2 linked regions of the Xenopus tropicalis genome follow. The protein of the gene in region 2 binds, or shares a complex with, the protein of the main gene of each other region. Links are inferred from orthologs where the notes say so. Each region holds a gene or a part of one and is shown on either strand. Other genes may lie near its edges.

Evidence for each region. The genes of interacting proteins can lie anywhere in the genome.
Region 1: the proteins of cnnm2 (region 2) and arl15 are in contact, whole or in part, in a crystal structure (PDB 8F6D), measured with the Homo sapiens proteins. The link is inferred for Xenopus tropicalis from reciprocal best matches to the Homo sapiens genes CNNM2 and ARL15. Residues at the interface, in NP_060119.3 of Homo sapiens: Asn490, Val492, Pro521, Leu522, His523, Phe524, Val525, Phe526, Thr529, Glu537, Lys542, Ser543, Gln549; in NP_061960.1 of Homo sapiens: Tyr92, Ser94, Arg95, Gln98, Gln128, His129, Pro130, Gln131, Cys133.

What each region holds. Positions count from the first base shown.
Region 1 is NC_030677.2:192,212,392-192,217,338, forward strand, and holds the end of arl15 (ADP-ribosylation factor-like protein 15), read left to right. Parts: intron 1-1,272; coding exon 1,273-1,425; 3' UTR 1,426-3,211; downstream 3,212-4,947.
Region 2 is NC_030683.2:28,756,757-28,762,735, forward strand, and holds part of cnnm2 (metal transporter CNNM2 precursor), read right to left. Parts: intron 4,586-5,979; coding exon of another isoform or gene 4,583-4,585; coding exon 4,416-4,582; intron 4,123-4,415; coding exon 4,029-4,122; intron 1-4,028.

The sequences.
Region 1 (4,947 bases), on a different chromosome or scaffold from region 2:
TAGTTTCATTAACTTTTGAAACATATTGCACTATTTTGTATTTTTATTTTTCATGCGCTTCCAACACATTGGGTTTGCACATGTTTTAATACCCATTCAAGAGGGGTATTTTCTTTGGAGGAAGCAGCAGGAGATTTGAGCACTACTTTTATTGTCTACATTGAAGACTGAAAGTAATTAAGCACGAGGACACCTATAGCGCTGAGTATCGCTCACAAACTTAGCTACAGTTATGCAGTTTTAAAACATGCAGGTTACTTATTCCATTCATGGCTCTAAGATTGGTAAAACCTTGGGGGAGACGGACCTAGATGTACTTGTAGATAATCTTAATAGTAGCATGCAATTAGTCTGCCGCAACTAGGGTTAGTAAGATATTGCCCCTAATTAAAAGGTGCTATAGATACATGGTTGGAGAGGTTAGTAAGATCTCAGGAAGGCTGGCCAAGTTGTGGTTGGTAGCTCTGGGAAAGAGGTCCCTAAGGAGTGATATGAAAATGGTCATTAAAAGAGATTACCTCCTCTATACACGAGAAACAACAGGAGTTCGATTTGTGCTGGCAGCCTTGGCTCTCTTATCTAAACTCCCATAACAGCCTATGACCATTATGGAATGTTTTGCCATGCCATACCGAGTTAATGCAACTTAATGCAATTTTATTATACTGTTACTTACCTTGAATCCCGTGTAGTTCCTCTTGGTTCTGCTTCTCCTCTTCTCCCCTCCTTCTTTCCTCCCCTCGGATCCTCTTGAGCATCGCCTTCATTACGGTTGCCTGTTCCTCTTCCTCCCCTCTTCTCCGGTTTTCCCTTCTTCTCCTTCTTATATAGCTAACTATCCATACTTAAGGTTATCTGATTATAAGTACATATTCCACGTTTATGAGACAACTGTGCTGTAACTAAATTGTGAGTAATTTAATAAAGATTTGTTGAAATAAAAAAAAAAAAAAAAAAAAAAGAAAATGGTCATTAAATGCGTTAGTATAATTTGGCTTACCCAATTAGGTAACTCAGTTGCCAAAGTATGCCAGTTGGGTAAGCACCAGCCATGCAAATTTCAGACTTTTAAAGCTAATGATTGGGTGGAGCCTATAAATGATTTAAATGAAGAACTTATGTTCTGTCGTGTCTGATGGGAAGGTGAAAAGAATACTATATAGAGATATCCCTTGTAAATCTGAGAACGGAGCAGCAGGATCAGTTTACCTGTAGTTATTGTTACGTGTTCCAAAATATTTATTTATACATTTGTATTTCTCTTTCTTTCAGATCAAGAAGTATTTTGAACTTGAACCACTTGCACGTGGGAAACGTTGGATTCTGCAGCCAACATCACTGGATAACATGGAGGCTGTGAAAGATAGCTTCTCAATGCTAATAAATTTATTAGATGAGCGAGAGCCAGAGCCAATTCAAATGTGAAGCTCTTGAAGGGGGACGTCGTCCATAGTGATCGCCGCGCTGGCTGCTGCTTCTTCTCCAACAGAAACTGAACTTGAGTGGAATTTCAATTGTGTGTCTTTGGGCCAAGCTGGAGTTTAGGTTGGAAAATCTGATATGAGCGCTTTGATTTTTATGCCTTACAGCTGTTTTACTTGGCGTTAAACCCAATAGGTAAATAAGGTCTGATGTTTACTTTGAGCAGCAATGCCACCTAGCCAGCCTCTGTTTCAGAGCTCATCCTCTAAGCGCAGCTTGTAGGGCAAATAGCTGTGTCTTTATTGGGTAAAAAAAGCTTTGGAGACCCGCTCCACTTCACATCTCAACCTGTACCAAATATTCTGCTGTGTATACTCCTGAGTAGCCTTGCCACATTTACAGTCTATAATACACATCTTTTATTCTTTAGTATGTGGCGGTGCCTAGGTGGATGGAAAACTTTATATTGGGGAGCCATTTTTCGTTTCTCTCCGTGTCTCTTCCTGGATCATGCTTCTCTCTACCCAAGTCATTTAGAAATCCATTTAGGTTGTTTAACCAGTCACTGAGTTCTTAACTAACCACTTTTTTTAACTTCTATTTCCCAAGCATCTGATCCATACTGAATGGAAATAAAGAGCTACATTACTTACCTTTGCTCAGCATTGGACTGGGCTGCTGGGGCAAAACCCTGGTGGGCCTCGGCGGCCCAGACCCAATCCCGACAGGGCACTCCACTGACCTGCCAGTCTCCCTCCCCTGACGCGGTGTAGGTAAATTTAATTTAAGCGCTCGGGCGAGGGATTTGGGCGGGTGTTGGGACGCCCCTGCTAGAGGGTGGGCGGAAGCCTCGGTTGGCCCTGCACCCCCCAGTCCGACCCTGCCTTTGCTGGCAGTCATATTCTACTACAGTGCAGAGACAGCAAGGTGCTTTTATGTACAAGGGGCCACATAAGGACATGGCTGCTCTATTTGCTAAAAAAAATAAATTAGAGCCATTCATTCATCTTTAACCCCCCCAATTCCTGTACTACTGAGCCCATTCTATGCCACTAGTCAGCTAATCATTTCCTTTCCCCTCTGCCGTCGTCTTTCCAACAAATGACATATCATATTGTATAGTACTGTTTTTATAGACCTGGTTTTATTGAGGGATACGGTAGCATTGAATTACCACATTTTACAAATTTTATTTTAGTTTTATTAGTATCTTTTTTTTTTTTCATTTATATATAAATGTCTGTAAATAACGAATTGCCCGCTTGGGGGAAATGTTAGTTGTAACCTTGTTGTTAGCCTTCCACGTGAGAGCTGGTGTTTTTCTCTACAATCCGTAACAATAGCGACAGTGTTAATAACAAGAAAAGAATGAATAAAATACATTTCTAAACTGACATTTGCCAATGTAAACAAAGTTTTTTTTATGCTAGATATTAAAAAAATTTCAAAAAGCACATTTTATGAATCTTAATGGAAAAAATATCTTGATGTATGCTCATGATCAATATGGGAAAGTGACCTCAATGGCTATCACTACAGAGTGTGTTAATATTAGTGTTTGACCCGCCTACATGGGGCCCACGTGTGCTCACTGTCACTGTGCAAACCTGGTTATTTTGTATTAAAAAAGAACAATTATTGCTGTATTTTCTTTCTAAACTGTGAACTTTAAATGGCATCAATGTTAAAAAAACACAGCTAATTATATAAAATAATATTGTTTTTTCAAAGTTCTATGAAGGTTTTTTGTGCTGTTTGTACCTAAAATAAAAGATAGAGTAAGTTTTTCTGAAATAAGTCCGTATTGTGCGTACTCTGCTCATACTGCTTAGCCAAACGCTCCTCCTCGTGTCTCTCATGGCTTATTGTCTAATGAAATAAGGAGACACTTTCCATGTCGTACTCTTAAATGGTTTTCAATTCTTTTTGCAAGTAGAATGTTTTGTATCATTTATTAAAGTGTATGTTATACAGATCTCTCTGCTGCCTATAAGGAAGGCTCTGCCACTTCTGGATGTTCTTTTGTTTATAAATGAATGTACAGGTATGGGATCTATTATGCTTGGGACCTATCATTTGTATTACCGTACCTTAAGGCTTCTAAGACCTTAAATCATCTAAACCTTAAATCAGGGGTCCTCAAACTATGCAGGCCGTGTACAGCCCCCCGCAGTCATTTACCCTTCTCCCTGCCCCTGCGCGTCACCTCGCGTAACCCCCTCCCCAATACTTACCACTCCCCGCTGGCTCTCAGGTAGGAGAGCACTATTTGCAATGGGTGGGGGACCTTCTGAAGATTTTTTTTGTGGCTTGGCCCAGCACTGAGTATTTATGGGCCACTGCCAGTGATAGGCCAGGAATAAAACTAGTAGTTTTTTCAAAACTATAGTCCAGCCCCCTAACAGTCTGAGGGGCCATGTACTGGCCCCCTGTTTAAAAAATTTGAGGACCCCTGCACTTAAATGGACCCAATAGGATTGGATAGCAATTTGGATTCATGTAGCTTAGTTAGGATACCATATTAGCTCTTATTATAAAAGAGAAAAAGGATATCATTTTTAAAAATTAGAATTATTTACCTAAAACAGATTCTATAAGAGATTCCCTTCCTATAATTCACAGCTTTGTTGATAATTGGTTTCCAGATAAGGGATCCCATGCCTGTATTTCAATCCTCAAGTTCTCATCTAAAAGCACACGTCAGTTAATGGTAAAAATATAAATGAAAAATATCCATAGCCAAAACTGATCAGTAGTGCTACTTCAATTTATAATGATGACATTTTTTAGTATCTTTATATAGAATCAGCATTTTTAGGAAAATTGTTTTTTTTTCCACAGCAGGTGACGCAGCCCCTTTAAATGGAGACTAAGGTATAAGGGCTTAGTTTATTGTGTATAGAGAATATAAATATAGTATATAGTATAGTAGTCAGCACAACAAGTCGGTAATATTTTCAGCATTGCACATTCACCAACGGCGGCCACTTTCCACTGCTGCTCAATAGGAAACTAGACTTGACCAGCACCGCAGTAATGAATCCATTGCACTGAGTTTGCAAAAAAGGCGTTTTAATGGATTAATTACTGTGGTGCTGTTCCAAGTTAAATATATATATATATATTTTGGGGCCATATTGCTTTCCTTACCTGAAAAATTCACACAGTAGCTGCCACATTATCCATTGCTGGGCACTAGATGGTGCTGTTGCTAAGACGTCTTCGGAATATACCTCAGTTGAGGAAATAAATATGGCAGCTTTTATTACATGATATAAAAACCAATAGGATTGTTCTGTAGACAAAAGAAATTAGGTTGTATATTAAGTATTAATATATTTCTTATCTATAAAGTGGAAATCAATTCCTAAAGTTTAGCAGTAGTATCTTTTTAATAAGCTATTTAACTTGCACAATGGCTTAACCATTTTGTTTCAATATTTTTTTTTTAATTAGGTTTTAATGTCAACCCACTGTTCCAAAAAAAGTTCCAATGAGCAGAAAATTCTTTTACATACAAGATCA
Region 2 (5,979 bases):
AAATTCATTGTGGTAATGTACAAATAGTTATGGACCTAACTGTATGTGTGCCTTGGCTTGTTTGTGTGCACTGTGAATCCTATGATTCCAGGAGGTGGCCCTTATTACTTAAAAAGTATATTTGTATGAAATGGTTTATTTGTGTAAAGCAGGGCTTATATATGAGCTGTTTATGCCTTATATTTTTATAAAGACCTACACTGTTTGGGGGATCGTTATCCTTTAATATGGAACAAAGCAAAAAATGGTTCAGTGATTCTACCAATGTAACGGGGAGAGGCAGACCATCATGTTTTCCTCTCAATAGGTGGAGTCAAGTATGTGTGAGTGAACAGGAATAAATATAATGCTGATATATTGTATTACCACAGTAGTGCGAATATACAGCACTGAGGTACTTGCATATAAAGCCACTCCGCACACTGCCACATAGTTGCGCTCTGTATCACTGGTTCCATCCCGCCGCCTCTTACAAATCACATGCAGTGTATCTACCGACGCAGGGAACCGAGAGCTGGCATGCTGCACTTGTGCTCCTACATGAGCCCGTATACACTGGTTATTCAGGGAGTGCTTTTAATATGTTTTAATATGTTTTTTTACCAAGGTCCAACTTAATAAGCTTGTGTTTTCAAGACATGGTATCGAGAATGGTAAGAAATGAGATGCACACAAGGACAAAGTCTGTGGCAGGGTACAGAGGAAGGAAGAACAATGTTCATTTAAAGTCAAATCTGCTGTCTTCTACATTGAAGCTGTGACAGAATGCAATGTTTTTTCCACCCGCATATCTACTCAAGTTGAGAAAATGCAACGTGACATGACTCTAAAGGCTGTGTCTGGAGTTTACAGATAAGGAGGAGTTTACTATAAACATGGTTTAACTGGGAAGAGTGATACAATAACCGCATTATTCTCCTTCTACAACTGCTATGAAAAACCAAGAATGCAGACTTGTGTGTAAAATAAAAGTGGTCTTTAAATGTTACTGTTACAGACTGTTTAGTGTAACATATAGATAACTGTTCTGTTTTTGTGTTAAAGGCCTATTCTTGGACACTTGTTGAATACAGGTGTATATTGCGGTGTGTGTTGTGCAGTGTTCCTGCATTTCTAGCGACAGAGTTTCAGCATGACACCCTGAGGGAAACTAGTGTCACTTCTGTATCTGACCTTCATTCCAACTAACAATTAGGCAGTAGTTGGAAAGATACGTGGAGGTGCATAGGAGATGCCTGAACAGACAGCAATAAAAAATTACAACAATGTTAAATCTAGCCCTAAATCTGTCTGTGACCATAACAACCAGACAACATTTTATTGTGCAGGGCAGAGAGAAGCAAGAGTGAAAAGCAAAAAATTCAAAGCCACAAAGACAAAGGAAACAACTACTCTGGTCTGTGAGATGCTTCATTGGTAGGTTCCCCTTTAATCGTAAAAAACCCAATCAGTTCAGTAATCTTACACATTGCGAGTGAGACAGGGATGTACATATGTGGCCTGGAATCATTCCTGCCAATCTACCTGCCCTTGCTGTATAGCGCATTATTTACAATTGCTAGAGATACTAGAAATGCTGAGCGGGGGGGCACTTTTTTTTTTTTAACATGTCATTCTAAGCCACTTTCAAATATAAAAGGAGAAGGGAAGAAATAATCACCAGGGGTGCCAATTTGTTAGACATCCCCCAGTGATTATAATCCCTTAGGGCCATTATACAACCATGCCCGTGCCTGCCAGCAGATGTTGCTATAGCCCTCTCAGTGGAATCGGTGTGCTGGCCTGGCTGAATAAGCAAACAGAATCAATAATTACAAAGCACTAACAAGCTGCCACTATACCTTCCAAAAGGCAAAAGGAATATGTTTCATTAATTTAAGCATTCATCCCATTTATTTTATTGAGGGGTCATGCCTTTATCAAATGCATAGGAGTTTTACTGGACAACAAAGCTGGCAAATAAGCAGTACAGGTAAAATATATCTGTACTGGAAAAGATATACTTTGTAAGGGTTGGCTAATATGCACAAATATAATTAATAGGGATGCACCGAATACAATATTTTAGGATCCAGCCAAACCCCAATTACTTTGTGAAAGAGTCAACTGAATACAGAACCAGATCCTAATTTGAACATGCAAATTAAAATAAGGAAGGGTCAAAGAGAACCGCGCACAAAGCATGCAGTAAATACATTTCCATGTCCCGTCTTTAAGTGACAAAAAGTCACATGATTTTAAGGATTCATTCTGGCCAGAGGCATAGATTCGTCTGAATCCGAATCCTGCTGCAAAGGCTGAATCTTGGCCAAATCCTGAACCAAATCCTGGATTCGGTGCATCACTAATAATTAACAGTGGACACATACAGAAGTCTTGTAATCTATACAAAATGCATTTGTAAGTTTTGTCATGTGCTATACATTACATTCCAGCGACAATGATTAACCTGTTTGTGCCCATGGCATTTTCCTTTACCTTTTGTATATGGAATGTTTGAAGAGGTTGTTGTGTCAAATATTTGGTCCCTCTACTGTACTGTTTGACACATGGGATAGTTTCTATTATTTATACATATACACTACTCAGGAGTGATGCTAAATTGACATTAGCTTAAACATATTATATAAATGTATATTATTATTTATTATATATACAGGGTTCTAATAATCAGAATGGGTCTCTAAAAGTGAGGCCAGGGTTGAAAAATGCAGCAGTAAGTAAATACATTATCAGAACATAAGATGCACATGTAGAACCCAGACACGAAGCTCAAACAGGCCTCCAGCTGCTGACAAGAGAAGTCACATGCACTCTCAGAGCACAAATAATTTAGGGCTGCACAGAGTTGGCCAGATAAAGGTATCAGAATAGCTCAGACTGCCCCTGGTTCAATAGTATATTCAGGTTTTATATACTAACCCCAGTGTGTGAATGTGATTGGGACCTTAGACTGTAAGCTCCACTGAGGCAGTGAATGATGTATAATATCTGTAAAGTGCTGCAGAATAGCTTGATACTATATGAATTATAATGAATAAACAAATAATAAAGTACAATACCATGGTTATTTATCAATGGTCCTATTTCAGCTGGCACAGAGACAGCACGGGACTATAACCTTGCTGTTACATTGCCGCCCTGTTAGCCTTTATGATGAGGATTTCAACCAGGCATCAAAGGTCAAGTCACACGAGAGAAAGACAACGGAGACACACAGCAAAGTGAACTATAGCGTATGAACCGATAATTAAGCATTATTTAAAGGATAAGGAAGTTAAACATACCGGGGGGGGGATTGCTAAACTGAGCAAAATTGCCAAGTTTTTGGCCTGTGTGGGAGCACCTGTTCTTTCAAATTGGCTTAGGGTACTTTGCAGTAGAGTCTGGCAGCCATTTTTCCTCTCCACCCAGGTGTCCCTGCAGTAGCTTGGAGTAAGTGCATGCACATCACAGTGTGGCTTCCACATATTACTATCCTGTGCATCTGCCCAACCAACTCTGCCACAAGGGACAACTGTGACCAGAGGAAAAACAGCACTGCTGTGTACCTCTTCTGTGTGCCAACCCTAATTTCTAGCCCTTCTGTCTTGTCTGGAACCCCGCTCCTACCCTGGCACCCAATCCCTGCTCGTTACATAGTGGGGTAGGGAGGAAACAGGAGAGATTTATTGAGCGCTGTTAGTGGGAAGGAGGTTGACAAGAGGGGGTGTGGTGATTTGGGTCCTGCCTTGAAAGGTTTGGCCTAGAGCTACCCCTCAGCATGTTTATTTTTCCTTGTCCTTTAAAGAAGTTTAAAAGAATAAAAGAAGATAAAGACTTTTTATTGCACAGTACTATTTAGCATTGTATTTGCAAATTAGCCACATATTAAATCCCACTGTTGTGCAAGTACAGGATATCATGTAAAGAGATTCCTGAACAAGAGAGAATATTTTGGAAAGCACTGAGCATTATGGCTCAAACATCAAACTTCACATAGAGAAAGAGAGAGCGCGATAGAGACAGTCTATAAGAAGCTAAGCTACCTGGTGATGCAGTGAGAGCCATTACGCCATAGTATGAAAATGCACCTGCTTCGAACTTCATGCCTTCCTTGCCCGCTTCCACTTCTACCTTCCCCTGTGGATAAATATGTATTACACACGTGGCATTTCATAAATGTATTGGAAAAGAACTGGTTTCTTAGCTAAGAAACCGATTATCATATGAGCAAAGCAAACTAGTTTTACTTCTAAGTCCTGAAGGGTTATATACGTGCATGTTCCACGGGTAGGAATGCTAAGAGTGGATGTCTAATCTTTCTAGTACTTTCCCCAAAACCCAAGTGCACTGCAAAGACACGGCAACACCAGGCAGTGGGGCAAGGGAAAGATGCACAGCACGTGAATATGCTTGACAGCAACTGGTCTGACCTGTAAAACGAGAACAAAGTAGTCCACGGGCTTATTCCGCTGGTAGAGGTAGTATTCAGCAGACTTCTTGTTCCGTTCATCGAACTTTAGCTCTTGGATAACGTTGGGATGTTTCAGCAGCCTTAGCAGGATTTTCTCTGACATCTGAGAGGGGCTAAATGCATCCACTTCTACAATGGAAACAGCACACATGGGTTTATCCCTCTGGAATATATCTGTGGTAGTGCAGTGTCACCAATAAGGCTAGAAAGCCTATACATGATCGCACAATGTGACTACAGCGCTTTAGCAGGGAAGATCTGTGCCTCTAAAGATGTCCCCAGTAGCCCCATACCTTCTATTTTACTGATTCACTTCTGTGCTTCTGTCAGTCTAAGCTAAATAACTGACTGACAGTATACTGTATATGTGTGTGTATATTATATACATATATTCATTAGAAGGTGCATGAACATTCAATTATATGAAGCTCCAATACATGCCATAACACAGACAGACACACCAGGCTGCTATAACTTTGAATGAACTTGAACTAGATTTAGGAATAGAGGGAGGAAAGGTTGTATTATGAACTAACCCCTTGATTTATTGGAGACAGCAAAACACAGCAGATGTTTCAAGAGAATGCAAAAAAACATGCTAACGTTCTAAAAGTACTCTGTTGTGTTCTTCCTGCGGTTACTCCAGGGCAGGCAAGGGGGTTATACTCGCAGACCTTTAGGGCCTATGCACATCTACCAACTCAGTTAGGAGGGCCTCAGTCAGCAGCTTTTATTAGTCCATGTGTGTTACTCCCCAAACTAGAGTTGGTAGATGTGCATAGGCCCTAAAGGTCTGCGAGTCTCTGTAGGTCACAAGTACTATTCAAACTTTGTCCCAGCAGCAAATGATCGGATCAGTCATATATGGACCAGCACGTGGGTGACTAAATTAGGCAAAGATTTGTTCTTTTGGCAAGGTAGCCATACAAGTGTAAAATATATGGTCAACTTAACAATACTTCGGCTTATCTTAGCAATATGATTGCAAAAATCTTTCGCGATTCTGACTTATCTGGGGCTTGGAAGCTAAGGGACATGCCCTTAATTAAAAGATTTTAAAAGGCCTACTAACAAAGAAAACATGGTACCTTCAGAATGATTACTTTAGCAGCAGATCATTTTTATCATAGTATGTGACCTATTAAAGAATCTTCCCAAATGGACACATACTGATTAGTATTTAGCTTTTACATCTATTACCATAAATTATCCACCATTTTGTGTTCTGTGTGTCACTTATCACCTGACAGGAAATAATGCAGGTTCTAACTAGAACAGGAAGAAGTGTGGGAGTAAAAGACACAGCCCATTGACTGGCTGATATAACCTGGCATGTATGTGTGCCCTTGGTTTGTGTGTGCCACAGTGCCTTATATAAGCCAGAGGGCTGGGCAGTGTTTCTATCCAGGGTTAACTAATGGCACATACTACTAGCAATGTATATTTTTACACTATTTCCGAGTCACTTTTGACCCAGCTTCATTGCTTCTGAGCAATTTTTTTTTCTCATTTCAGCTTTTATT